6 linked regions of the Ovis aries genome follow. The main gene of each other region encodes a partner of the protein of the gene in region 6 in a complex. Links are inferred from orthologs where the notes say so. Each region holds a gene or a part of one and is shown on either strand. Other genes may lie near its edges.

Region 1 (4,158 bases), on a different chromosome or scaffold from region 6:
CTTCTTGTTGGAACACAACTTATTTTGCCCCAAATCTGCTCTGTCTTGAGTAACTAGTTCTATTTCAAGTGAAGGACACGAATCCCTTCAATTGCTCACATCAAAAGCCTGGAGTTATCATAAACTCTTTTTCTCTCCTGGTGGTCCAATCTACCTGCCAAGGCAGTGGACATGGGTTTGATCCCTAGTCTGGGAAGATTCCACACACCACAGGGCAACTGAGCCCATGCACCACAACTACTGAGCCTGCACGCCCAAAGGCCACTGCCCTAAAACACAGAGAAGCTACCTGCTTGCCACAGCTAGAGCCCATTTGCAGCAATGAAAACCTAGCATGGCCAATCAATCAGATCAATCAATACCCTGCAATGGCTCCCCACTTGGGCTTCCCTGTGGCTCAACTGGTAAAGAAGCCACCTGCAATGAGGGAGACCTGGGTTCGATCCCTGGGTTGGGAAGATCCCCTGGAGAAGGGAACGGCTACCTACTCCAGTATTCTGGCCTGGAGAATTCCATGGACTATACAGTCCATGGGGTCACAAAGAGTCAGACACAACTGAGCAACTTTCACTTTCACTTTTCACATTGGCTTTAAAAGGCCCCACCTGATCTGGTCTCCCATCGCCCCTCTAACCTCACCTGGTACTACTCTTCTTCTCACTTGTCGCCAGATGCAGTGGCTTCTTTGCTATCCTTTAACTCAACAGACATATTCCTGCCTGAAGGCCTTTACATAGGCTCTTCCCTCTGCCTGGTACTCTTCTCCGTATATCCATGCAGCAAACTCCCTCACTTTCCCCCAGTCTTGGAAGGATGTCATCTTCTTAATAGGGCCTACCACAGCCATCCTTATTTAAAATTACAACTTGCTCCTCCAAACCTAGAACTCCTGATTAATTTACCCTACTCTGCTTTTATTTATGGATTTATCACTGGTCAAAAATATACACTGGACCATTTACTTATTACGTATATTCTAAATCATCTGCCCTACTATGATGTACATTCCACGAGGGCGGGGATCTTTGTCTCTTTTGTCTTTGGCTGTATCTCTATGACTGACTGAATGCCAAGCACCAAAGAACAGGATCAGATAAAATGCCTTGTGCAGTAGCAAGGGTACCAGGGACCAGAGGGGCCTTCTGTGGGTTGGCCCTGCCTACCTCCCTCCAGCCTCATACTGCACTTCTCTCTTCCTGTTCATTGCTTTCCAGCTCCACTGGCCTTCTTGATTCTTTAATAAAGTAAGACTGTCCCATTGTATGGCCTCTGTTCTGACTGTCCACACTGCCTAGACTACTCTTACCCTTTCCTTTGAGTGTTTGGATCCCTCTTGTCATTCACGTCTCTGCTTCAATACAAAGCCTTCAGAGCAGCCTGCCCTGCCACCCAATCTGATATTCCTCCTCTGTCACTTTCTCAACACTGCATCCATTTCAGTATTAGCCCTTATCACCACCTGAAAATTTCTTCTCGATTCTTTTTAAACAGTTGTCCTTACTCACTCTATCGAATTCCATACTACAAAGTAAGTTTCACAGAACAGACTTAACTGTTCTACTCATCACCGTATCCCCAGCGCCTATGACAGTGCCTGACATGGAACAGGTGCTCAATTAATACTTGTGGTGTGGATGGAGACAGGTGAACTGGACCTTATGTGTGGACAGGATTCACTCTTCTCTTCCAAAGGGCGTTAAGCTGTCCCTGGGGACCTCTAGGATGCCAATCCACAGGGAAGACAAGGCTTCTGGTTTTGAGATTAAAGAGAGAAAGTGTCTCACCTCTGAATGGTTTCTTCCTGTTCCTTAACCATGTGTGCCAACTGCTGGAAGATGGAGCCCAGCTCAACAATTGTGGACTCAATGTTCTGCATGGTATCTGCCCGGCTCTGGATGTAAGAATCCTTCAGAGGAGAGAGAGCGTACATGAACACCAGGAGCTTCTGAGGGTGGGTCCTGCCTCTCTGGGGCTTTCCAGTTTGCCATTCCACCCACAGCACATTCCAAACACTTGCTTGTGACCACACAAGAAAACAGGGGAGCAACTCCTCCCTGCCTCAGAGCGTGGATACCTGCTCGTCAATGAGCTGCAGCTGCTGGCTGGTCCTAGAGTCCATCATGTCAATGGCCACATCCCCAGAGGCTCGGGACTCCGCCCCCAAAACCACAGCACCGCCCCCTGTGGGGAAGAAAGACAGCATGGCACTTCTTAGCAGTTAAAAGGTTCAAAGCCCATATTCTCTGGATTTGAATCCCAGCTCTGGCACTTACTAGCCTTGTGACCCTGGACAAGTCATTTAACCTCTCTGAGCCTCAGTTTCCTCACCTGTAAAATGGGGGATAATGACAGTTGCTTTCTCAAAGGGTGGTTTTGAGAATGAAATGACAGACTGTGAATATAATGACTAAGTGGACCAAAAATTTAAAAAGCTCATTCTTTTGAACATGACTGGATTCACCCTCAACAGGGAGAATGCTGGAGACTAGGTGTGGACCATAGATCCCAGGCATCAGGAGTGACCTCTGAGAAAGCCTAGCAACTTCCTTGACCCTCCGCTCTCCTACCCAACCCCTGCCTTAGGGAGATACCCTCAGACCCAGAGTCACTAGGCCTTACCCTCAGGGCTCCCTGACTTGCCTGTGACTTACCCAGGTGGTTGGGGGCAAGGGGCAGGGCTGATACAGGCGCCCGGGAGAACTGCTCCCGCCGGCTCCTCTGCTGCTTCAGGTTCTGGGTTTGGGGAAGAAATGCAAAGGTCCTGAGGCCTCTGGAAAGCGGGCACATTAGATTCCCCCTGCTGCCCATGACACTGTTGCCCTTGCCCTTCCCACTGCCCTCTGGGGCCCTCATGCCCAGATTCCTATCCCTCCTACCCAGCTTCTTCTCACCTCTGTCCTCACTTCTAAAACTGACTTGAAGTCGTTGGACATGGAGGCCAGTTTCGACTAGAAGAGGAGGAGAGAGGGTCAGCCAGAGAAGACAACGCCTCCTCCCTTCTGCCGCCCCCTCTCCCTGGTCCCACCTGCAGGGAGACCACGATGGTGTTGGAATGGGTTTGCAGATGCCGGCCGCTCTGGCTGCCCTTGGCCCTCACGAAGTCCTGAAGCTGGGCGATTTGTTTGTTGAGGCTATTGATGTCCTGGTGAAAGAGCCAACGGAAAAACAGTATCAACCGGGGGATGGGGGGGGGGGGGTCCTTAGCCAGTGCCTTTCCCACATGGACATCGCTGGCAGGGATGGCAGGACGGACATACTAGCAGGGGTGATGCTGTCTCAGTCAGACCAGAAGGGCCTGCTGGTGCAGTCCAACCTCTGGAGCTTGCTCTGGCTCAGTCCTTGAAGAGTAGAGCCGGAAAGAGGTGAAACATGGCCTCGTCCGTTTGTAAAGAACTGAGTTGCTTACTCCCTCCACCCTACTGCCCTACTCACTACTGTGAGGCCCTGTTCATGGCCACAGACCCCTTAAAAGGACAGAATCTCAGACCCAGAGCGTGCTGACCAACAAAGCATCTGTGCTGTACTCAGGAGATGGGAGGAGTCCTAGAAACATCAATGAAATGGTTTCTATATACACAATTCCTTTTAAAAAATTACTACTGCAGGGACTTCCCTGGGGGTCCAGTGGCTAAGACTGCACTCCTAGTGCAGGAGGCCCAGGTTCGATCCCTGGTCAGGGAACTAGATCCCACACACCACAACTAAAGAGCCCGTGTGCTGCAATGAAAATTGAAGAATCTTGAACTGCAGTGAAGCTGCATGCTGCAACTAAGACCTGGTGCAGCCAAATATATATATGGGCTTCCCTGGTGGCTTAGATGGTAAAGATTCAAGAGACCAAGGTTCAATCCCTGGGTCAGAAACATCTCCTGGAGAAGGGAATAGCTACCATGCCAGTATTCTTGCCTGGACAATTCCATGGACAGGGGAGCCTGGTAGACTTATACAGTCCATGGAGTTGCAAAGAGTCAGACACGACTGAGGGACTTAAACACACACACATATTTTAAATTATTTTAAATTTCTATTTTAAATTATTCTAATTAATATATTTAAAATTACTATTGCAAAAGAGTGAAAGGTGTAACTCATCGAACTTTATACAGGAGTTAGTAGCACAGCCAGGCTTTCTACACGAGGCCGGTGGATCCTCTGCTT
Region 2 (4,833 bases), on a different chromosome or scaffold from region 6:
GACTTCTTACAAGCGTTTTTTATGGGAAGACGAGGACACCGGGGACTCACAGGGAGGTACAACGAAGCCACTGGTTTGGCTGGGCCTGTTAGTTCAGTCCATAGGAGCAGGGGACTGACCGAGTGGACACTGAGGGCCCAGGGAGAGGTGGGCAGACATTGCAGGTTAGGGTTAGCTTAGTGGAAACTGCCCACAAACCCTCAAAAAGTGCCCTACAGTTCCTAAGAAAAGTCACTATCCAGAAACCTCCCGCGTACACCGACAAAAGCCCCGCCTCACACCGGGCCTGACTCTGAAGCGTCAGACGGACATGTCTCCAGAGGTCTAGTCTCCGGGAAGCAGGCCTCTGGTGCTGGGCAGATCCTGAATCCCGTGAGAACATCGGCTTCTGCTCCTGGACACACGGCTGGGAAACTGCAGGCCTTGGGCCCCAAGTCCTCAGCCTGCGCTGCAGTCCCTTCCTCCACCCACACCCCCTGCCCATCCCCGAGGGCCTGGTTTCAGTCGCGGGACTGGAGGGCAGGAAGAGGCCACTCAGCAGGACCTTTGAATCTCTCCGGGTCATGGATGACCAGCAGCCCTGGCCAGAGAAACTGCAGTCTCCGGGCTGAGGACACTCAGTTGGAGGTGACAGCAGTGATTTGAGCTTCACAGCCACACCCCCTTCCTGTGTCAGCTCCAGGCAGCTCAAACATCAGACACAGCCTCATCCAGACCAAGACAGCGCAGAGAAGCCTTGAGATGCTCAGAACCTCAAGGGCCGATGAAAGGACTGCTGCTCACAGGCGGCCGTGTCCAGGATTCCCAGATGCTCTGCTTGGACCCAACACTGCTGGGGCTTCTAGAGCTCAAGGTGGCAGAGGGAGCTGGGCCTAGGCTACCCCACAGGGATAGGGCCCTTGCACACATAGAACCAGCTAACAAGAGCTCACTGGGTTAGAGGCTCCCAACCACGCAGAAAAAACATTCCTAAGCCATGATCCTCATTTCAAAGGAGTATTTTGAAAACAAGTTCTCTGGAGCCCAAAACACCAGACAGAGGAAAATCCTGGTTGCCCCAGGCACCCACAGAAGCCAGTTCCCATTGGCTCACGTCCTTGCCCTCGACAGGAGGTAGGAGAGGATGAAGAAGGCCACAATCAGGCCCACAGCCATACCACAAAGAAGCTTCCGGTTGTCTCGCCCAGATCGCGCCATTGTGGAAAACCGCTTCACACTCCCTGTGAGTAGACCCGTCATACTTGTGAAATCTGAGTCCTGAGGGAGAAATTCCAACATTGTCACAAAGGGACAGTGACTCTGCAACACACACACACAGATGGGGGCTGCAAAGCAGGTGGTGGGGAGCTGAGCTGACCGTGACGCTTGCAAACCGCAGGCCCTTACCATGCCGTCCAGGTACCGGTTCTGGTCCTCCGCATCCCTATCGATGTCCAGAGCCAGCTGGTCAGGACACAGAGGGGGCAGGGTCAGACCGGGACAAACACAGTGAACAGCACCTGACCCCCAACAAGATCAACAGAGATCAGAAGATCCAAATGCCACCTGGGCCTCGCACAGATGAGTATGCCACAGGTGGGACAAGGAGAACGGAACTACCTGAAACCCATCCAGGTCTTTACTGCCCGCTGACCACCCCCTCCAGATGCCAGGTGGAGGCAAAAGGAGAGGACCACCACTGACCGATTTGAGCCTGGTGACCTTGGAGGCCAAGCTGTCAGCCATCCGCTTGTTTTCTCGGTCTAGAATCTCCTCCACAGCACCAGGGCTCTGAGCTGTGAGGAGAGAGAGAGGCTGAAAGCATGACTCCGCTCATGAACCGTGACCCCTATAATCTCGGCCCTTTGTGGCCTCCGGCCTCCAATCCCATCTGGCCCAGTCAGGCATCTAAGGGGACCCGGCCTCTGTGTGTCTGCTGAGCAGGCCCCACCCTCACCCAGGATCCAACTTCACACATGAGGAGGACTGTATAAACAACAGTGTGAGCACAGGTCCTGTGCATGTATCCAGGCTGGGATGGGTGGGCGGGCACCTCCAAAGGGCTCAGTTCAACCAGTACTTTCAGACATTCTGTGACGGAACTTGTACCATCCCTCCGCAGGTGTCACTAGCAAGGTACACAGAACCTGTTCTCAAAATAAACCCCAATGAGCTCTGGTAAGACTTACAGGGCTTGAGACTGATCCCACACAGGGTCTTGTGTGTCACCCAGAGCCTGGTACCCGCTGAGAACTGGCCCGAGACAGGCGCTGGGCCTGGTGATTCAGAATTACCACCCTACCAGGCTGGTGAGAACTGTTTCCCACAAAGTTCAGAGTGCGCATTTGCCTCGAGCCCGATGCCTCAAGGAGACTCATCAAAAGCGGGCACAGTCTAGGAACCATGGCTTCTTACAAACCCCAAAATAAGAGGTGTAAAGGTCCTACCGACCGACTGTACCCTTAACTCCTTAAAAGTCACAACAGCCCAGCGAAACAAGCATCAGCATCCCACTTCGCAGGTGAAGAGAGACTCCCAGAAGGCAAGTGGGGTACTAGGCATGCTTGGGCCCTCCTATCACGCGCAGCTCTCACTCCGAGGGGGTCTAGCCTCAGGGACCCGTCAACCAGGAGACCCGGCCGAGGTCCCGTGCAGAGTCATCTCCCAGGGACGAAACGGGTGGGGACTGCGGGCATCCGGACCCCGCAGTTTCACGCAGCAGCTGGGCAGGAGCGCCCAAAGGGACCCAGCGACTCATCCACAGCGCGGCGGGCTGCACCCTGGCCGCCCTGCCCAAACTACGCCCGCCCGCAGTGTCTTGCCAACAACGCCACCTAGTGCCGCGGAGAAAGGCGAAGGCGGTTCCTAAGAGCAGCGGAGTCGGCCCCGGCGAGCCCCGTAGCCATCCGCCTCCGCCCTTCCGCGCTCACCCCGAGCCCAGTCCGCCATCGCGTCCAGCTCCGACCCCAGGGTCCGTCACCGCTTGATTACAGCCTCCTCGGACGTGGCGCAGTCGCCGGAAGGGGCTTCCGGCCCCACCCCTTCCGCCTCAGGCCCCCCACTTCCGGCCGAGATCTGGCCGACAGACTCGGCGGTGGGAACGGGAAGAATCTGACGTTTCTTCCGTCGTTTGACTTGGGGATGGGGCTGGCGTTTGCTCTCGGGACTCCTGGATGATTTGTGGTTTTAGAGGCAACTATGGTGCCCACAGACACTCCAGCAGCCATTCCCGCCTAAGGCGGTGTCGGGGTCCTAACTGGGAAGAGCACACGGGCCTTTCCCGGGCCAAAGAGGCTCCTCGCCGCGACCCCGCCGGGGTTGAGGCCCGGAGCGAACTCGATGGGAAGCCCGGTTCCAGTTACTGCCGGCAGGACAAACGAGATCAGTGCCTGGAACGAGCGAGCGGTGCAGAAGTCGCAGGAGTGAAGCCCTCTGAAGAAAACAAGGAACCAGGAAGAGGGGTGGGAGCGTGAGGGGAGTGGGTACGGGAGGAGCCAGCGCTTTTTGACCTTGCACGCGGTGCTGACAAGGGGCCTGACAAAGTAGATGCTTAACAAAGCCTTCTTGCCCGGTGGATGGGTTATAAGTTACCCACCCCCCGTAATGGAGCAATTGCTGTGCCATGTACTCGACAATCCACTGAAATGGAAACTTGTATCGTCTCTGCTTTTCAAAAAAGGAAACAGCCCAAGCAGACGAGCAGGTGTGCCTGCTTACACAGCAGGGAAGTCACCGCACACAGTCAGACTTTGTCTTCCTCCTGACCTTCCCCCCACCCCGACCCCGTCTCTCTTTTCTCTCAGCTCCAACAGTGATGTTTCTCTCTCCCTCCACGGCCATTCCCACCCTCGCACTGGCCACTCCTGCCTTGCAGAACCTTCCTTCGGAGCCTTTCCTGGCTCACTCCCTAGGCTCCGGTCTCAGCAAAAACTGACTGGCACTTCTTCAGATCTCCTTGCAGCCCATCAAGCCCCTTTTGTTATTCAATCACAGCACTATAGCTGCCTAACGTCGTCTTGTTTGCCCGTTTTAGTCTTCACATCCGGCACATAAGCGCCAAGAAGGCAGGAACCTGTGGGTTCTATTCACCCGCATCCCGGCTCCTCGCGTGCAGTAGGCACTCAAACATCTGTTTAGAAACCAAGTGGTCCGGAGGTTGTAAACTCCTTTCCACCTCGACTTTTCCCTGGACGTTTCATTCGTTCTGTGCATCAAGAGCGGTGTTGGTGTGCGTGTGATGGAGGGGTGCGGGGCTGAGGCCCTCTCCTGTCAGGAATCCTAGCCCAAGGAGTGAGGCTCACTGCTCGGTTCAGGGCGATTCTGGCCCATAAGTCGGACGATCACCGAGCCGGAGTTTAAGGCCAAAGCTGACTCGGCAGCAAAGTCTTCAAGTTCTATCCAGCTGTTCCAGGCCTCGCCCCTTTAAGGCGCCACACAGACCAGAGAGCTCTGCGCCCGCCGGGTCCCGGCCTCCCCTGCGCGCAACCCAGGCCCCGCCCCACGGCGCCGCGCACGCCCCGTCCCGGCCTCCCACGCGCGCAGCCCAGGCCCCGCCCCTTTAAGGCTCCACGCAACCCAGAGAGCTCGGCGCCCGCCCGGTCCCGGCCTCCCCTGCGCGCAACCCAGGCCCCGCCCCACGGCGCCGCGCACGCCCCGTCCCGGCCTCCCCCGCGCGCCGAGCCTGGGCGGGGCGGGCAGACGCTTGCCCGGAATCGCGAAGCCGGGAGCCTCCGGCCTTCCTGGCATCGGGTCCTGGAGGTGCCATGGAGCCCCGTGCAGTTGCGGATGCCTTGGAGACGGGGGAGGAGGACGTGGTTATGGAAGCTTTGCGCGCGTACAACCGGGAGGTGAGCG
Region 3 (4,909 bases), on a different chromosome or scaffold from region 6:
CTTCACTGCCAAGGATCTGGGTTCCATGGTTCCTGGTTGAGGAACTAAGATACCTCAAGCTGCATGATGTGGTTAAAAAAAAATTCGTTCCTTCATGAATATTTATTAATCAGCTACTATGTGCCAGGCAGTGTTGCAGGTGCTGGGGACATGGTAGTGAATAATTAAGGTGAAAATCCCTGTCCTTTTGGAGCTTACATTCTAGTAGGATGGAGAGGAGGGGTGGAGGCAGACAATAGATAACACAAATTAGCAAAATACATGGTATGTTAGATCCAAGTGAAGACATGAGAGATGGGCAGGAGTTGGCAAGGATCTGGTGCACGGTGGGGCTCAGGAGATGAAAAGAGGAAGAAAGACCCTGGAGGAGTAGCAGCATGGAATCCCTGGCAGAGACACCCGGGCTATTGACATCCTGGGATCCAGGAGAACTAATATTCCTCTCAGCTATTCTGAGACTCACTGAGTGACTTTGGGGCATCCTTCTATAGAAGGTGGGTTCCAAAAGGGCAAGCCATTCTTGTCTGCCCTGTTATATCTCTGGCCCTAAAACAGTGTCTGGCCCATACAATAAATATCCACTGAATGAATAAATGCCTACAGGGTTAGGGTTAGGGAAGTGTCACCAAAAGCCTGAAGCATAAAAGAGAAGACCAGGGAATCATAAGCTTCATCTTCAGTTATATAAGAGGCTAAGACTCTATCAACAAATATTTACTGAGGGCCTAACATGTGCTGGGGTTCCTAGTTGGTTCAGTGGTAAAGAATCTGTCTGCCAGTGAAGAAGACACAAGAGATGCTGGTTCGATCCTTGGGTTGGGAAGATCCCCTGGAGGAGGAAATGGCAACCCGCTCTGGTATTCTTGCCTGGAAAATTGTATGGGCAGAGGAGCCTGGTGGGCTACAATTTGTGTGTGTTAGTCACTTAGTCGTGTCCGACTCTTTTGTGACCCCATGGACTGTAACCCTCCAGGCTCCTCTGTCCACAATCATGCCCTCACTTTAGTAACTCACAGGCCACGATAATATGTAATATTTTTGTGGGTTCCAGAGGGTAGACCCCCAGTGCAAGGTGGGGGTCTGGGGAGGGGGTTGTCTAAGTGACATGCTGCTCAATGTAACAGACTTTTTTCTAAGCCCGAGCTGCCCTGAAATGCCCTGCTCAAAGGTGGTGAGTGCAGCGGGACTGCAGTGTTCAAGCCGGGCGCCAGCCAGCCGCCCACCTGTCAGAAACTGTGCCAGGAGTATGCGGGAGAAGAGAGTTCCGCCTCGGGTGAGGTCACTTCCCACCCCCAGATGCTCTGCCTACAAAATCTCGCAAGTCTCTGACGCTGTATTTTATTCTTTTCTGAATTTCAAGGTCTCATGATGTTGACAGCTCCAAATTCTAAGTCCTCAGTCTGCCCACACTCGCGGACCCAAAAGAAAGGAAGCCGGATTCAGCCTGGGTCCTACCACCCACTGTCTCTGGGGGTAGTCAGCGCCCCCTCCCCGCCTCGCGGGGGTTCTGAAGAGAGGTAACTCGCGCGCGGGGTGCCGAGGACGTCGTGGGGAGATGGGTGTTCCAGAGATGGAGTTGACAGGGCAGAGACATGTGACAGTCGAAGCGTCACGTTCCGTGGTCTGAGAGGTTGGGACCAGGCCGGTCACATGACGCGCGCGGGGGGGTTTGCACTATGGGGTGATGCGAATTGAGAGGGCCTCACAGATCACGTACCAATGACGCATTCCCACCCCTTTTGGCAACTAGATTTCCGCTGGAAGATGCGATAGTTCCGGCAAAGGGGGCGGGTTCTCACGTCCTGGCAATTTCGCTTCCGTTCGGGGCGCTGAAGCTTCCGACCTCGGCCTTTCCCTGGGGTGGGGAAGGGACGCGATCCGGTGCGCATGCTCCAGTCTTTCCAGAGGGGGCGGGGCTGAGGCTACAGGAGAGGGCGGGGGGAAAGAAAAGGGAATTCCAACCTGTGGAATCTTGGGGGTCCCCGAGGTCGGCTCCTTCCCTTTGAAACTGTGAATGGTGCCAGGGACAGAGCCTCTAGCGACTCTTGGGGGAGGGTTTGGGGCCTGCAGGGTGAGGGCGGAGGGGAGTGTCAGAGTGTGAGTTGGGTACGGGAGTTCCAAACTTAGAATCTTGAGGCCCGCCGGGCTCCGGCGCCGGCGAGAGGGATCTCGGGCCGCCATGCGGGACAGGACCCACGAGCTGAGGCAGGTGAGAATTTGGCGCAGCAGGGTTGGGGACGGGTGGACGGGATGGGGTCTACTGGAATGCAGGACTCCTGGTCCTCGGGGCCGGGAGGGATGACTGTGGGCTAGGAAGGAAAGTCCCGGAAGCCCGTGAGTTCTACTGGGGGAGAGCAGTAGCAAGGAAGTGATGCCAGTGACCCCGGCCCTGGCAGGGGGATGACAGCTCGGACGATGAAGACAAGGAGCGAGTCGCGCTGGTGGTACACCCGGGTACTGCACGGCTGGGGAGCCCGGACGATGAGTTCTTCCAGAAGGTAAGAGGCTGGAGTCTCGGCCTGGATTCACGAGGGGCCTGGAGGGCCCGAGGAGCAGAGCAGCCTGGAGCAGCGCCCACATCTCCCTCAGCCCTCTCGGTCATCGTCCCCAGGTTCGGACAATTCGGCAGACTATCGTCAAGCTAGAGAATAAAGTCCGAGAGTTGGAGAAGCAGCAGGTCACCATCCTGGCCACGCCCCTTCCCGAGGAGAGTGAGTGAAACCCCGGGTGCAGAACGCATGCTCAGCTGGAGGCTTGTGGGGGTTGTAGTTCCACACAGGTGGTGGCCAGGGAGATTTGTTGAGGTAGAGGTTGCTATTTGGGCATCATGGCTTTCTCTTGTTTAGGCATGAAGCAGGACCTGCAGAACCTGCGTGACGAGATCAAACAGCTAGGGAGGGACATCCGCGCGCAGCTGAAGGGTGAGCTCCTAGGACTTTAGCCAGATACTTTCCTCTGATCCTGCCCAACTCCTGGTATTTCTGGGCAGTGTGTGGTCCAGAGAGGCCAGTGATATATATCCAGGTCACACAGCAGGCCAACGTCTAGAATCTCCATCTCCTGGCTTTCGGTCCAAAGTTCTTTCCACAGCATATGCCTGCCTCTCAAGTTCCCTTATTTATAATGAAACCATGTCCATTTGATCTTTGTCCAAGGCAGAGGTTAGCGTTGCTACCTCCACCTTCAGGTCGTTATCTGCATATAACTGTATAGTCTGCCGTCCACATCCCAGGTTCTGCAAGGGTGGATTCATGCAGTCATGGATTGTGTAGTACTGTAGTATGCATTTATTTTCTAAAAATTCAGGTATAAGTGGACCCACAGTTGTGCAAGGATCATCTGTACTCCTACAATTCTTGCTGCCCAGTGTGTATTCTTTGGGTGGGAAGATGTGGGTTTTGTTAGGAAGCTTCTCCAAACATGTGGGAATTCTCTGATGTATTTATTGCAAAGAAAAATATACTTTTGCCTGTCAGAGGCTCAAGAGTAGTCATTTATGATGAATTTTATTTCAAAAAAAAAGCTCTGTGGAGATATTGTATCTCTCTCTATTGTATGGCTGCATGGCTGGGTCCCAGTCCCCAAATGAATTTCAGAAGCCAGAGGTCAAACCCCCTCCTCTACCAATACTTCTGTGTCTTTCCACAGCCATAGAGCCCCAGAAGGAGGAAGCTGATGAGAATTATAACTCCGTCAACACAAGAATGAGAAAAACCCAGGTGGGTTCATTATTCCCAGAAGTAGGACATTTCAGCAAGTGTTCAATAGATCATTAGATGGCAGATGTAAGAAGGCAGGGCTCTTAGAGATCATTAAATCCAACCTGATGATTTTCCAAATGAGGAAACTGAGGCTCAGAGATAAAAAAGGATTTACCCCAAGGTCAAGAACCCGGGTTTCCTGACTTCCAATCTGTTATAACACCTTGCCTTCTTCTCCTCCATTCAGTGAGAAGTTGCTGAGACCCCAGACATGATCTGGGCTTGGTTGTAGGAGATATACTTTCTAGAAGCCAAGATGGGGAGTTAAGCTTGCATAGATGACAAAGACATTACTCAGGTAGGACTTGGTAGTTAATGGCTCTGCCCAGGGAAAAAAAGGGTGCAGTCAAGTGACTGGGTGGTTTCCTACCCATGTGATGAGGACATCCTCTGCCCCAAGGACAGAATTCAAGTCAGGAAGAGGAACTTCCCTGGTGTGTGTGTATGGGGAAGGTCACTGAATCATCATCTTAATAAGGAGATTTGAAATGGTCTGAGCAGTGTCCTCTGGGTGCCCAGAGAGGCATGGTTTGGAGTTCTTGGAGGTCAGAGTTGGAGTAGGTGGGCCCAGAAATCAGCAAAGACCCCAGATTGAAGATTAAACAATTTGGGGATTTTTTTTTTAATGGAAGAGAAGGAAAGAGTAGTTTTATTACTTTGCCAAACAAAGGGGGGAACACAGTAGGCTAGTGCCTCAAGAACTGCCCCCCCACAATTTGGGCATCTTGAAAGGGTGCAACTGAACCCAGGACAGCAGATGTGTCCTGGAGAAAGGAACTCCAAGGAATGAGCAGATTTTAGGCATCAGGAAAATGGACAAGCAGGGAAGGCATTTACAGGGGGTGGGGGGCTTGTGGTAGTCATTGTGTGAGAGGCTGAGTGCCCAGGTGGGCCTGCAAAATCTGGGAAATGCAAAATCCTGGCACACCTTTAGTCTAAGCAGGGAGGCTGGTGTTCAGCAAGCATTCCACTAATATTCTTTGAGGGCCTACTGTATGCCAGACCCTTTTCTAGCTATTTAGGAAACAGCTGTCAACAAATGATCTCTATCCTCATGGAGATTTCATTCCAGTGGGGAGAGTCACCATAATAAATTAGTCAATTATTGTAGAAATAGAAGTATTAAGGGAAAAGAGAAGAGGGATTGA
Region 4 (4,893 bases), on a different chromosome or scaffold from region 6:
CTGGTGATGGACAGAGAGGCCTGGCGTGCTGCGATTCATGGGGTTGCCAAGAGTCGACTGAGCGACTGAACTGAACTGAAAGGTCTGGCTGTGTCTTACTTACCTCATCTACTATTGATCTCCTACACACATCTTGTTTCAGTCACAGTTCTGAATATTTGACTTTTCTTTTCCCCTTCCTTTGTTGTCTCTTCTCACTTCCCCTCTCAGGCAAATTCCCACTCAACCCTTTACACTCAGAAGTTCTCCTTTCTGAGAAGCTTTCCTCTCACTCCCCTACGGCCATGTTAGCCTTCCTGTCACGGTCTCAAAACTATCTTAGGACTCATCACACACTTTGGAAATCTCCCATTTAAGGCAAGAACTCACAGAACTCCCCAGACCCAGGATATTGAGTGATTCATAATTCTTGATAGATGTTTATTGAAAATACTGAATTCAATTACAGAGCATAAGCTAAATGCAAGGGATGTGTTATGTATTAATGTATTATTCAGTGACTATATTATTCAGTGCCTAATAATTCATGATAGGAAAGCTTTGGAAAGCCTATGAAGTCGTCTTAGTACAAGAAAAAAAGGATTCAGAGATGACACCCCAGTATGTTTGCTTAATTAAATCCAACTTATTCAACAAATATTTATTGAGGAATATAAACAAAGCAGTGAATAAAGGGACTGAAGGCTGTTGAAATTCTTATAACCTGAGGATATGCAAATACTATATAATACTTACCCACTGAACAACTAAGTGTTACCAGCAACTTGTGTGGAGACTATTTTGTACCTGGGTAGAAATTCACACCTTTTTGATTGTCCTCAGGTAGATGACAAAAGTGAATACAACTAAGTTTTCTATTTTTGGAAACAGAATGTCCTTTGGCATTATTTAGCCTTCCCTGATAGCTCAGTTGGTAAAGAAGTCGCCTACAATGCAGGAGACCAAGTGCAATGCAGGAGACAGGGGTTTCAATCCCTGGGTTGGGAAGATCCCCTGGAGAAGGAAATGGCAACCCACTCCAATCTGGGAAACGCCATGGACAGAGGAGTCCGGTGGGCTACAGTCCATGCGGTTGGAAAGAGTCAGACACGACCTAGCAACTAAACCACAACCACACCCTTACAAAAACAAATCTTGCAAAATTTAAATCAACACCAGGTGAAAAAAATGATCTATTTTTCAACCATGTAAATCAGATCCAATCACTCTCCTGTTCTGTAGCCTTTAACTTCAAGTCACTGTATTTAGATAAAGATGCAAATCTTTCACCAGGGTTCACGTGGCCCCACACAATCTGGCCCTTTAAAACCTTATCTATTACTATTATTTCCTTTGCTCATTCCACCCTAAACACACTGGCCCTTTAGTTCTTCCTAGAGCATACCAAGCTCACTTCTGCTTAAGGACTATTGCAGTACTATTCTGGAGAAGGAAATGGCAACCCACTCCAGTCTTCTTGCCTGGAGAATCCCAGGGATGGGGAAGCCTGCTGGGCTGCCGTCTATGGGGTTGCATAGAGTTGGGCACGACTGAAGTGACTTAGCAGCAGCAGCAGTACTAGTCTGTCCTCCTGAAACTTATTTCTCCCAAATTTTTGCATGGTTCAGTCCCTTACTTCAAGTCTCTGCTCAAACGTTACCTCCTCAAAGAGGCCTTTCATAGCCATCCAATTTACAATTAGAGCTTCCCCATTCCTTGCCCTGCTTTATTTTCCTGTATGGCCCTTAACACCACTTCCAAATATTTATATCATCATCGACCCATAAGAACAGAGGTCTCTAAGTCTTTTCACAGCAATTTGCAATATTACCAGCATCTACACAGTGCCGAGTGCACAGCAGCCTCTCTTAATAACTATATGTTAAACAAAAGTATGAGTTTCATTCTCATCAGAGTCATTCAATTCATGTGACCTTAGGTAACAGAGCAAACACTCAAGCTTCCACGCTTCAGGAAAAGCAATGAAAGTCTCATCGGCCTTGCCATCAAGATCTACTTGTTTTAAGGCAAAGAACTATGATAGACCTTCCTATACAGATTCAATCAAAAAATTCTTAGCTCCCCCAAGACAAGCTTGCAGCACACTGCATTATGAAATCAAGGGGCAGGAAGGTCTAAGCAGAGGTCATAAAAGGATCGCACCTGAAGGCCACCATCCTCATTTTAAAGACCAATCCCTCCCCCAACCCCTACCCGCCCCCAAGACTGGTTATTTACACCAGCCTCCAAAGTTATGATGGCTTTGGGTTTTTAACCCTTTTTGTGCTACAGGTCCTTTGCCAATCTGGTGAAAACTATGGGCCTCTTTGGAGAACACTTTCAAGCGCGGAAAACAAAGTACTGAGAGCCACAAAGAAAACCAATTATACTCAGTTTACAGATTTAAGGGTCACAGGTATAAGGTCTCTCATGCCCATCTTGCCACAGTGAAAATGAAACGAGCGAACTCTGAAGGCAACAGGGGATTCAAGAGAGAGATGACACTCCGTGGTGGACCCCTGGGTACCTAAGTGTCAGCACGGAGATTCTGGACGCCGGGACTCAGCCAGGCCTAGGGGGCGTGCCTGAGGACGCCAAGCGAGAGACGGGAGGGTGGGTCTGGAAAGGAGGTGGGGGTTCTTCCTCCCGGTGCTAGCGGAGCGCTGTTCCCGTTGTCTCATCCCGCCCCCACCTCACCTGTCCCTGCCATCCCCAGGAGCCGCTCCGGCACCCCTCGTAGGTCTTCATGGAGGCCGCGGAAGATCTCGTGCAGTTTCTCGAAATGCTCCGAGGAGGCGGCGGAGGTGGCCATGGCGCAGGCCGCTCTCGAGCAGCGGGCGCCGAGATTCTGGGCCCAGGGCCCGCTCCTACTCCGCCGTCAGCCGCCCAGCCCCTCAGGCATCACGGCGACCGCCGCCACAGTCCCCCGACGAGGCGCTTCCGGGGCCGCGGCGGGGTCCTCCCGGGCCGGAACGCCCATCCCCTGCTTGCCGTCACTGACGGCGCGCCGGGCGTCAAAGCCTGACAGAAAGTTAGTCTGGCTCCGTTGCCCGGGAGACTTCTGAAGGGGCGGTGGCGCTTTGGCGCGAGCGGCAGTCTCGGAACCCCAGAAATACTCAGTCCGAGGCTGTAGGGAGGCCGGATGGCGGAAGGAAAACATGGGCACCCGCGGGCCGGCCGACGCGGGCGCCTCTTTCCTGGGCCCCGCCTTCCGGCAAGGATTGGGGGGGGGGGCTCTGCAGTGCATGCCGGGGGTTGTAGTTCGGCACGAAAGACGCTCCGACTCGGAAGTCACGAGTTGCCGGGGGCGGTGGTCCTGCTGTAACCGCGGCCGCCGGCGTGACCGCGATGCGCAGCGGTTAGGGTATCAGTTGGCACCTGGCCGTCGTCGTCATTATCATCGCACTGTGACTATCCTGATTTCCTCAGTTCACATTCCGGCTGTTAGCTTTCAGTTCTCAGAAGATAGTAGGACCAGGTGCCTGCCTGCCCCCGAGTTGAAAGCACTTTTATTGGGGAGCAGGTGACTGGAGTGACATGCTTTCAGGAGTGGCCCCCGGACAGCAGTGCGACCCCTCAAATATGCGCTCAGCCTCTTATTTGGGCTGAGCTCATATATCGGCTTGCTCATGCAGTCATTCACTCAGCAGGTGTTTGTCAATTTAACCATAGCCTTTATGCTGGGTTCTGGGCATGTGTTGGTGAATAAAAGATTCATCGCTTGGATAACTTATAATGTAGTGAGCAAGACAGACCTGGCTTCACCATTAAGTGTAATGTGTTAACGATTACAAAGCCTTTTCCTGCACTCTGTGGGTTCCCATGGTTAGTGGGAGAAAGTTCCTATTTCCGTTGATTACATGGTTTGCCTATGGAGTTCATTCTGAAATGTTTCCTTGGCAGCCCAATACTGAAGACTGCCCACACATTAAGATACATTTGACTGTTCGGGGGAAATGATTTGGTGATGTATATACCTCCTGGGCCCTTATTTTTATTAGACTGAGTTCATTGGCCTTTGATTCAACAAACATTTGTTGAGCTCTTTGTGTAGCCAAGTCTGCAGTTGTTAGTAGCAGTGTACTGTGATAAGTCCCAAGAAAGTGAAAAGTGTCAGTCGCTCAGTTGTATCCAGCTCTTTGTGACTCCATGGACTGCAGCCTGCCAGGCTCTTCTGTCCAGGGGATTTCCTAGGCAAGAATACTGGAGTGGGTAGCCATTCTCTTCTCCAGGGGAATATTCTTGACCCAGGGATGGAACCCAAGTCTTCTGCACTGCAGGCGGATTCTTTATCACTGAGACACCAGTATTCATTGAGCATTCAGAGATAGCAAAGTCTGGGATTGTTAGTAGTAGTGAATAGCATTGTGTTACAGAAAAGGCAGGTACAAAAAGGAAAGATTATAAATAGCCTGGGTTGGAAAAAGTGGTCTTTGAACAGTGTCATAAAAGATTAGCAGAAATGGGTGAATGAACAATCAAATTATCAACAACCCAAGTTAATAACATTTGAATTGAGACTGCACTGTGGCAAACTCTGGGACAAATTGTCCTCATGAATGAGGACTGATTGCATAACCATAGTAATGAAAAGTGTTTTCTTATTTTGACCGTAATTAAACTTTCATTTAATTGCTTTCTTCTGTTGATGCAAATTAAATTTGCTTAATTATTACAGGTTTTATTCTGGTAAATAAAAACATGGTAAATCATCAAATTTTTTATTTGTCATTGACAGTTCAATATAAATTAAGTAAAATATTAATTCAGTTCTGTACTATTATCAAAAGTTTTCCAATTTTTCCATAAAATGACCATATCTAAATATATAGTTTAATGGTCAAAACAAGTTCAACAAAAGATTATTTACAAATATGAGAAGACTATGGTCCTATGACTCTTTTCTCCACCAAA
Region 5 (4,767 bases), on a different chromosome or scaffold from region 6:
TTCCTGTGAGGGGTGTGAGGCTGCCCTGGAGCAGGGGATGCGTTCCTGCGTTCCTGCGGTCCAGGACGTGCCTGAAAGGAAAAGGGAAAAAACTACAGTAACATAGGAGCCTACTGATCCCACTCTGAGATATGATGGAAATAACACACTGCTATTTGTTTCTACAGGCTCTCAGTCTTGGTACATATTTCAGACTGAATGGCAAACACGGCTTTCAAGTCCATGTGGGGACAGAAAACAAAGCTTTGGCCACCTGAAGCTGGGAACTGGAACTGAGACCACTGCAAAGCCAGGAGCACAAAGGGATACAAATACCCTCAGTGAAAAGGTGAGCTAGGAAAACGTCTGTCAACCAGCACAGAGAAGTTGTGGAGTTTTCTGTTGTGAGACGTGGCTAGAGGGATATAAATGTCTCTCCCGATTATAACCATGGCACTCCCCTCACATGGATCGAGGGTCCAAGTTCATCCTTCCTGAGTGGTTCAAGAACCTCCACAAGGAGAAACAAACATAAAAAGTGCTCCCAGACCTGTGGTAATCCCAGGAGACCTGGCAAAAGCAAATGCAAAAACCTCTGAAGAGACATTCAACCCAGGTCGCACGAAAGCCCCACAGGTAAGGCCTTCTGAAAAGAAAGACTCAGAGCCCCAAATAATCAAACCCCAGGACACAGCCACCCACCTCAGTGAGGGGCAGCAGCCCTCACTTTCTTTTCCTCTAGAACTCTCTCTGCTTCTCTGTGACAGAACTTCCATTTCCCCCACCTTGCCTCCCTCCCTCCCTTCTTCCCACACACCCATTCTTCCACTCAACGATGGTGCTCAATCTGTACCATCATGAGGGATACGCAGCGATCACCAGGAACAGGCCTGCTGTCATTGAGTTTACGCTCCATTAAAGAATCTAGATTTTAAACAAATCATTAACTTAACACAATGCAAAACCTCTCCAATGCACTTTCTTTTCTTTCCCCAGGCGCAGCGTCCCAGCTGCGCACTCACTCACCTGTATTCTGTGCCGCAGTTGCTGAAACTTCTCTTTCACTTTAGTGTTCAGTTCGGTAAGTGCACTTAATGGTCCTGAACAATCTCGAATATCCTAGGAGACATTGAAGAGATGAACGGGCCTTTCTCAAGGCAATGAGAGGAAATGACACCAGCTGTACAATGAGAGAGCTGGCTTAGACCACAACTAAGTTGGACCTACTGGCTGTAATTCATCCTAATCTCTGCTGTTTACCTCTGTAACACAAGCAGAAGCATTATAATTTACTTTTTTTTCATCCCTCTTTGGAGTCAAGTCTGAGCGAGCAACATAGAAGCATAAGCAGAAAGACAACAGTGCGACTTCCCTGGTGGTACAGTGGATAGGAAATCCGATGCTGCGGAGCAACTAAGCCCGCACACCACAGCTGCGGAGCCTGCCTCTGCAACTACCGAAGCCCTGCGGGGCCTAGAGCCTGTGCTCCGGAACAAGAGAAGCTGCAGCAATGAGAAGCGCATGCGCTGCAACAAAGAGTAGCCCCTGCTTGTGCGGTCAGCGAAAGCCCATGCGCAGCAGCGAAGACTCAGTGCAACCAAAAATTAATTAATAAACACGTTTTTAAAACCAGAAACGGACTAAGGAACTAATAAGTCTTGATGTTTAACAGAACAGCATCCAGCCATTATGAAAGACTTAAAGCAGCTTGCATATCCGACAAGAACGAACACCTGAGAGGGCACCATAACTTCAGGTCTTTCCAACCTAAAAATGAGGATGCTAAATTCTCGGCATATGACAAGACGAACCTCTTTAACTGCTTGAACTGATTTTACACACCATCTATTAATATGATAAATCACACAGTTTACAGACATGTTCAAATGTAGATTTCGAATTTGTTTCTGGACATTCAGAATTACCAGGGCCAGGTAAAAAGTAGGCCCTAGAGTCAGACCATGTGGATTCAAATTCTAGTTGCAGCAATTTATCAGATGTATAATCCTGAAAAAGTTACTGAAGCTTCTGTGTCTGTTTACCCATCATTACCCACTTCATAACCAGGTACCCACATAAAGGGCTTAGCAGGAGTTGCCACACTGTAAGGATGTGCTAAATCTAGCTATAATCAATTGTTCTCTTCAGGAGAAAGTGAATCTTGGAGAGTGCAAAATGGGGCTGAGGAAATTTAGATCACCTGAAAAGCCAGTTTCCTTTTTATGAATCCTAAATTAATTCTTCTAGAATTGGCCCAGATGTTTTGTAGTTAATACATGGGAAAGGTGAAGTTCAAAAAGTTTAAATGTTTGTATCAAGTTGTTCTTGTTCTCTGGATTACTCATTAAATCACAGTTCCATGCAACATTTAACGGCTATTAATTTGGTTTATTTTGCACCTGATTTCCGTAGGGAGCTTACTTTCCTTCACCTTTTACCACAGCTAGATGAAGACTCTTACTTAGCATCTAAGGTTGAGTAACACTGCTGGAAATGGAAACCATTTGCCCAAAAGAAAGGTTTAAAACTCTTGGTTTCTTTTTGATAAACTAAAGGAACTATTTCTACATTCCCAACTCTTGCCTATGCCAACTGGTTTACTGAACTATTACCTTCTACCCTTAATTGGCTTAGGCAAAGGATCTCAATCGCCCCATCAGTTAAACGAAGTAGACGCCAAGAATTTTTTCTAGGATGACTTTCATTGTCCGCGTCCCAGTTTTGCCATTATCTACTTTCTGCTCAGGCAGACTCCTTCCTCATTTACAAAATCACAACTACGGTCTAGGTCACGTTCATTTCACCCAGTACCTCCTGTGCCAGGTGGCCTTTGGTGCCACGGGGCATCAGACCAGCAGGGGGCGAGGCTGATGGCCCACAGGACGCTACTGAAGCATGAGGAGGACGGGATCAGAAGGCGGGGCCAGGCAGGATGACAGGTATGTTTTGAGGCTGGCTGGGGGGTGGCGAGGTGACGGCCAGGGGTGTGTAGGGGAGCGGCCACATAGGGGAAGCCCAGTTAGGAGTGGAGGTAGAGGACGGGGTGTCCTGGAAGAGGGCGAGCTAACGGCAGTCGGACGGAATACCAAAGCCAACGATCCAGGGGAGGGGCCATGGGGCGAGACAGTTGAGGGGTAGCGGGCAGGGAGCTGGGCCAGTGGCCTCGGAGACATGACCAAGGGCGGAAAGCTCGGGAGTAAGGCCGCTGAGCTCACAGAAGGCCAGCTGAGCTGGGATTTAGGGCTTCTGGACCCTGGCGGGGACCCCGGGCATTAGTACCTGGATAAGCGCCTTCACCTCCAGATCGAATTTGACAATCTCTTGGTTACAGATACGGACGTGGACATCTTGGGCAGCAGCCATGTTGGAAATGCCGGCTACGGGAAGCCGCGGAGCCCAAGTTCCAACGCGTTTTCGCACCGGTTTCCTTTTTAGCCTCCGGGTCTTACGGCAGCGCCCCCTAGAGACCAGGCCTGAGGCGAGCGAGGGTGGTGGCGCCAAGTCCTATGGCCTTTGCCTGACACGTGGGAAAAATCAGTCGGCCTCTTGTGGTGGACCTAGAAGACGTAGAGAAAGAAAGGAGGGAATTGTCAGGACGCTTTAACAGGGGCGTCTCCCCATATTCTGCCCATCAGCCATTCTAATGACTGCATATTTTTTGCACAGAGAGGGGAAAAAGATTGGAAAAAAATATCCATTGGGATGTCTCTGGAAGGTGGAGTTAAACAATTTTTTATACTCCTTTACACTTTCTTGTATTTTTCATATTTTCTACAGTGAAAATAAGTTGTAGGGTGAAAGAAGAAAATGACAAATGTTATCATTATTTTTTTTAATGTATGAAATTCAAGGTAGTTTGCTAGGGTTAACAACTCCTGTCAGTTCAGCCCACGGTTGGAGGGATCTTTCTAAAATGCCCAACTGATCAAGTCACATTCCAACTTACACCCCTTCTCTGACTCCTGGCGTTTCCCTTTTGTGTGCAATTGGTTTTAATAAATATACTTTGCTGGAGTAGTTTTGACGGATTAATGTAGTTTTTAATGGAAACAAAAGTGAGTCACTTAGTCCTGTGACTCCATGGACTGACTGTAACCTGGCAGGGATGTAACCCTCCTCTGCCCATGGGATTTTCCAGGCAAGAATACTGGAGTGGTAGCCATTTCCTTTTCCAGGCAGATCTTCCCGACCCAGGGATTGAACCTGGGTCTCCCACATTGCAGATTCTTTACCGTCTTTAGAGCCACCAGGGAAGCCTTAAATTACTTAATGGAAATACTTAAGAGCACACCCTCAACAGATGGAGACTCTTTCATTGTATTATTATTATTAACTAGTCCAAGTTTCTTAGCTGGATCTCAAGGGCATCAATCACCCCACCAGCCCTGTCTCCTTCCTGGATTCTTCAAGCTCTTTTTGGAAGTCTAGTCCTGGAGAGAACACCCTCCCTTGAAGCGTTCATCACACCACTGCATCTAATAGACTGGCTGGGCAACGCATCTTGGGCATCTGCCCTGGCTTGAATCCTGCTTGACCACCCACTTCATCTCTCTGTGCCTCAGTCTCCTCAGAGGCTCACTGCCGGCAATCCTAGCATTGACTGGAGGGCTAAATGAGGCAATACAAAAAAGCACCAAGCACACTGTAGTAGCATGGAGCATGGGGAGAAGGCAACGCACACGACTGCCCTTACTGTGGCACTGGCATTTCTGAAGCACTTCCCTTGTGCCAGCCACTAAGTGCTGTATGTGCATCATTCTAATGTAACTCTCACAGCAATCCTGTGAG
Region 6 (4,780 bases):
TAACATAGATTGGTCTGGGAATGACAAAGATATCTATAGAGACAAAGATGGAAAAGTCAGAAATAGACAAAATAATGAAGGCTTAGTTTGGGTTTTAAGCAAGAAAGTATAATCTTAGGAATGTTAAATACAGATTTAAGGAGGGATCAACTAGAAGCAGAAAGACCAGTTGTGGTTTAGTCGCTCAGTCATGTCCAACTGTTTGCAACACCATGGACTGTAGCCCACCAGGCTCCTCTGTCCATGGAATTCTCCAGGCAAGAATGCTGGAGTGGGTTGTCATTTCCTTCTCCAGGAGACATTCCTGACCCAGGGATCAAACCTGTGTCTCCCGTGCTGCAGGTGATCTGCATTGCAGATGGATTCCTTACTGACTGAGCCACCAAGGGAGCCGAAAAACCAGTTAGGAGGAGGTCATTAGGAATGAGAAACAATGAATGTCTGAGCAAACACTATGATGAATGTGGAGAGAGGAGACTAAAATACCTCTTGTAGCAGAATGGCAAAGATTTGGTGAAGAAGTCAAATGTGATTCTGAAGTTTTAAGCTTAGCCAGCTGAATGACTGGTGATGCTATTAATGAAAGAAATAGCAAGAAGAAGGTCAGATTTCAGGAAAAAATTATTTTCATACAGTAAAATGGAACTTTTTCTTTTGGTATACAGTGATAACACTGGAAAAGACCCTGATGTTGGGAAAGATTGAAGGCAGGAGGAGAAGGGAATGACAGAGGATGATGGTTGGATGGCATCACCAACTCAATGGACATGAGTTTGAGTAAGCTCCGGGAGTTGGTGATGGACAGGGAAGCTTGGCATGCTGCAGTCCATGGGGTCACAAAGAGTCGGAAATGACTGAGTGAAGTGAACTGACTGAAATAAAAGATATGTTTGATTGGGATAATGGAACATGATTATAGGAAAGAAACCAAGGTAGAAGCTTAAAAAGAAAGAAACAACTCAGTGACGGATACTTACTCCAAATGAGACCAGGTAGGACTGGGTAAGGATGTAGGTAGAAAGACACAGCAGATAAGTAACATTGCTTTCTTGCAGTATAACCACATTTTCATTGGATTACATAGCCAACTTCCCTTAGAGTTAGATATGGCTATGTGATAAGTTCTGCCTGATAAAATGTGAGTGGAAGGTATATATCCTGCTTCCCAGTCTTGCCTCTAAAAAGATGACACATGCTTTCCCTGAGCATTTTCCTGGGAACTGACTAGAAACACGATCGTTAAGCCCAGCAAATTTTTTAAGAAACCCTAAAGCCATACTCACGAGCAACCAGAGTCATTTAACCCCTAGGTAATTTCTCAGACCCTAAACTACACCAGAGAGTAGTAGACTATGGAACCTGTGCAGTTCCCAAAGATGACAAACTCACTAATACCCATTTTGGACGTGGCCACAGAGGATAATGTACCAGGAGGAGCCTCTGGGAGAACAAAGGGAGAAAAGATGAAGAAATTCTTCATGCAAAGCAGAACCACTCCTGGGTCAGAACAGGAGTCTCTGAAATTACTGTGTGGTAGTTATTTGAATACTGCTGGGAAGCAGTGACATCTGCATGTCAATAGGCCACAGGAGTCATCTCTGGGTATGACGGAGAGGACTGTATCACCCAGACTGTCTGGACCTGGAGCTGGACAAAGCGATCAGATAAATCTTTGGGGCCACTTCCTGCAGAGAGGAAGTGTGTTTTTTGGGAAGAAGAGCACATCCAAATATTTTGGAGGCCCAGAAGAGTAGACTAGAAGATTGTGAGCTATCTCCTGATACCCTAGAATTTCTTCCAGAGTAATGGAGTTCTAGCTGAGCACATGGCTACATAGCTAGAAATGACAAATTTTAGTCTCCATTTCCAGCTAGGTTAGCTGCATAATGATGTAGTGAACAATACTATCAGCCACTTCTGGAATGTGCCTTAAAAAATACCAGAGCTGAAGAAGCTGCCTTGGCCAGAATTCCAAGGCACTAACTGAAACTGGCAGAGCCACTCCAACAGTCCCGAAGTCTTCACCTCTGGGCTATCTCATAAATTAACACTGTCTTTTAGGGTCTCTCTGTTGCAGTAGCTTACACTAAATCCTAAATGATATAAGGAGTTAGTTCTGGAAACCAACAAGGACCTCCTACTGAGATAGGGTCTAAGGAAATTAGGATGAGTTAGGTAGCAAAAGATTTTTAAGTATTAAGGAGGAAGGCTGAGGCAATATTTATGATTACTAAGATTTCCCACCTATGCCCCCTTCAATTCATTCTCCAATCAGCCACAACAGTGATCTTTCTAAAGCAAAACCTTACCATGTCACACCCCAGCTGGAAACGTTCAATGCCTTCCCATTGCCCACTGCGTAATGTACAACCCCTTAACATGGCCTATGAGGCCCTATAGGACTTCTCTTCTGTCAATCTCTCTAGCTTTATTTTCATGACGTTGTGCACCAGTCACAGAGAATCACCCGAAGTTCACTAAATATGCATTATGAGCTCATGTCTCCATACTTCTCTACCAGCTGTTCCTTCTACCTGCAATACCACCCCCTACCCACTACTTTCTACTCTCTACTGTGATTATCTATGAATTTGACCATCTCCTTCATTAAACTATAACCTCCATTAAACAACGAGGACAAATACTGAGTAATTTCATGTATCTCCAGCACCACCAAAGTGTCTGGTGACAGTTAAGTGCTCAGTAAATATTTACAGAAAGAATGAACAAATAATTATTATTTATCATAACTATATCAAGTTTCACATATCCTAGAGCTCTATAGCAGAATCACTTTTATATCTAACATTTCCATATTGTTCTTTAAAATACAAGTAACACTTAGGTGACAGAATAAAATAATTTTTAGCTAAATTTAAAATTAATAGAACCAGACATTTTCTAAGCTGGTAAAGATTATTGTTCTGTCAGCTTATTAAAATTATCTACTGAGAAGCTTGCTTTTCTAGTTTTCTACTGTTCTGAGTATAATAATACAATTCATTTCTTTTACCCGCTACCCACACAAAGCAGAACTCACTTGCCATGTGAGTACGTTAGTTTGTTATTTTCAGAAGGTATCTTAGCCAGAATCTGCTCTGTCACCTCCAGGAAGTTGCCTCCACACCAAGCATGTTTGGCAAGGATAGTGGTTCCCCTGGCAACAACAGCAAAAAGAATGGCCATGGCTTCAATCTATCAAAAAGAAAAAAAAAAAAAAGAAACATAAGATTTAGAATATTTCTTTGATATAACCTTTCAAAAGTAACTTACTATCTATCATTTACCAACATCCATCCATCCATCCATGACAATATTGACCAAGGCACTGTAAGAGTAAACAGAACAGACTTAACAAGGTCACAGTCTTGTACAAGCCTAAAACATACTGATGTGCATTCAAATACAGAGACAAATCAAATGGATACACATATATATATATATATACTTTTATGTATATGTGTGTATACAATGCAATGCATATGATACATACATACACACATAATTACATTGATAGATAGGTTGCATTTGCAAATTATACAGCACAAATTGATTATCACCCTCTGAAAAGCAATGACCATAGATGGCAAAGGGACAGAAAGAGTCTTCATTCTTTAATGAAGTGATCTCATCTTGAAAATTTATCCTAGGGAAATAGTTCAATAAAAGTTAGATTCTAGATTTACAAATACATGTATTATCAATAATAATAGCCCATATGTATTAAGTACTTACTATATGCCAGGCACAATTTTAAACACTTCACATTTATTAACTCATTTAATCCTTACATCAATTAAATTAATACACTACTATGACATTTACAGTAAAATGAGGAAACTTAAGGATAGATGACTTACATAATTTATCCAGAATTACAGAACTAAAATTACAGTGACAAAAGTTGTGATTTAAACTGAGGAAGTATGATTCTAGTACCCACAATTTTATCTCTACACTGTATACTGCCTCTACTATGAAGGCATTAACCATCACAGGAACAAAGTGAAAACAACCCAAATCTTCCACAAGAGAGGAATGGTTCTATAAATTATTGTAAGATCTTTTATAAACAAAATATTTCAAAAACAGTACAGCATGAGTTTAAGACTATAGTAATACCTGGGAGATACTGTAGGTTCAGTTCTAGACTACCACAATAAAGCAAATATAACAATAAAACAAGTAACATGAGCTTTTTGCTTTCCCAATGTATACAGAAGATATGTTTATAATATGCTATAGTCTACTAAGTGTGCAATAGCATTATATCTTATATCAATATTCATGTCTTAAATAAAAAATACTTAATTGCTAAAAAATGCTAACCATCATGGAGCCTTCAGCAAGTCATAATCGTAACATCCGAGATGACTGATCACAGATCACCATAACAAATAAAATGAAAAAGTTTGAAATATTGCAAGAATTATTAAAATGTTACACAGAGACATGAAATGTAGAAAATATTACTGGAAAAGTGATGCTGATAGACCTGTTCAATGCAGGGTTGCTACAAACCTTTGATTTGTTAAAAAAAAAAAAAAAGCAAAATCCATGAAGCACAATAAAGCATACTTCAATAAAAAGAGGTTTGTGTGTATTTTCCTCATATTTATGAATTTATACTATCTTTCCCCACAGAACAGTCAGGTTTCTCTTATTTAATGCCATAAACTTATAAAAGGGATGAACAAATGTCTTCCTATTCTTCAGCTAATTCTTCAACCTAATGTTATTTGTTAACATGCTCCATTTCATCCAATAAGCCAGAGTCATC

The links.
Region 1: VAMP7 (region 6) and STX5 share a complex: the UniProt entries of both Homo sapiens proteins name them as parts of the SNARE complex. The link is inferred for Ovis aries from reciprocal best matches to the Homo sapiens genes VAMP7 and STX5.
Region 2: VAMP7 (region 6) and BET1L share a complex: the UniProt entries of both Homo sapiens proteins name them as parts of the SNARE complex. The link is inferred for Ovis aries from reciprocal best matches to the Homo sapiens genes VAMP7 and BET1L.
Region 3: VAMP7 (region 6) and STX4 share a complex: the UniProt entries of both Homo sapiens proteins name them as parts of the SNARE complex. The link is inferred for Ovis aries from reciprocal best matches to the Homo sapiens genes VAMP7 and STX4.
Region 4: VAMP7 (region 6) and VTI1B share a complex: the UniProt entries of both Homo sapiens proteins name them as parts of the SNARE complex. The link is inferred for Ovis aries from reciprocal best matches to the Homo sapiens genes VAMP7 and VTI1B.
Region 5: VAMP7 (region 6) and BNIP1 share a complex: the UniProt entries of both Homo sapiens proteins name them as parts of the SNARE complex. The link is inferred for Ovis aries from reciprocal best matches to the Homo sapiens genes VAMP7 and BNIP1.

What each region holds. Positions count from the first base shown.
Region 1 is NC_056074.1:37,666,701-37,670,858, forward strand, and holds part of STX5 (syntaxin-5), read right to left. Parts: intron 3,143-4,158; coding exon 3,026-3,142; intron 2,949-3,025; coding exon 2,892-2,948; intron 2,734-2,891; coding exon 2,652-2,733; intron 2,182-2,651; coding exon 2,075-2,181; intron 1,907-2,074; coding exon 1,785-1,906; intron 1-1,784. UniProt on the Homo sapiens protein: Mediates endoplasmic reticulum to Golgi transport.
Region 2 is NC_056074.1:47,477,922-47,482,754, reverse strand, and holds BET1L (BET1-like protein), read right to left. Parts: upstream 2,995-4,833; 5' UTR 2,929-2,994; coding exon 2,910-2,928; intron 1,776-2,909; coding exon 1,684-1,775; intron 1,444-1,683; coding exon 1,387-1,443; intron 1,258-1,386; coding exon 1,090-1,257; 3' UTR 4-1,089; downstream 1-3. Other genes in the region: RIC8A (synembryn-A), read left to right, coding at 4,743-4,826. UniProt on the Homo sapiens protein: Vesicle SNARE required for targeting and fusion of retrograde transport vesicles with the Golgi complex. Required for the integrity of the Golgi complex.
Region 3 is NC_056077.1:27,672,774-27,677,682, forward strand, and holds the start of STX4 (syntaxin-4), read left to right. Parts: upstream 1-1,894; 5' UTR 1,895-2,179; coding exon 2,180-2,209; intron 2,210-2,396; coding exon 2,397-2,498; intron 2,499-2,611; coding exon 2,612-2,711; intron 2,712-2,846; coding exon 2,847-2,921; intron 2,922-3,423; exon of another isoform or gene 3,424-3,648; coding exon 3,649-3,719; exon of another isoform or gene 3,720-4,909. UniProt on the Homo sapiens protein: Plasma membrane t-SNARE that mediates docking of transport vesicles. Necessary for the translocation of SLC2A4 from intracellular vesicles to the plasma membrane.
Region 4 is NC_056060.1:77,616,060-77,620,952, forward strand, and holds the start of VTI1B (vesicle transport through interaction with t-SNAREs homolog 1B), read right to left. Parts: upstream 2,922-4,893; 5' UTR 2,792-2,921; coding exon 2,677-2,791; intron 1-2,676. UniProt on the Homo sapiens protein: V-SNARE that mediates vesicle transport pathways through interactions with t-SNAREs on the target membrane. These interactions are proposed to mediate aspects of the specificity of vesicle trafficking and to promote fusion of the lipid bilayers.
Region 5 is NC_056069.1:5,005,272-5,010,038, reverse strand, and holds the start of BNIP1 (vesicle transport protein SEC20), read right to left. Parts: upstream 3,352-4,767; 5' UTR 3,343-3,351; coding exon 3,259-3,342; intron 1,099-3,258; coding exon 1,006-1,098; intron 1-1,005. UniProt on the Homo sapiens protein: As part of a SNARE complex may be involved in endoplasmic reticulum membranes fusion and be required for the maintenance of endoplasmic reticulum organization. Also plays a role in apoptosis.
Region 6 is NC_056080.1:82,158,035-82,162,814, reverse strand, and holds the start of VAMP7 (vesicle-associated membrane protein 7), read right to left. Parts: upstream 3,187-4,780; coding exon 3,041-3,186; intron 1-3,040. UniProt on the Homo sapiens protein: Involved in the targeting and/or fusion of transport vesicles to their target membrane during transport of proteins from the early endosome to the lysosome. Required for heterotypic fusion of late endosomes with lysosomes and homotypic lysosomal fusion.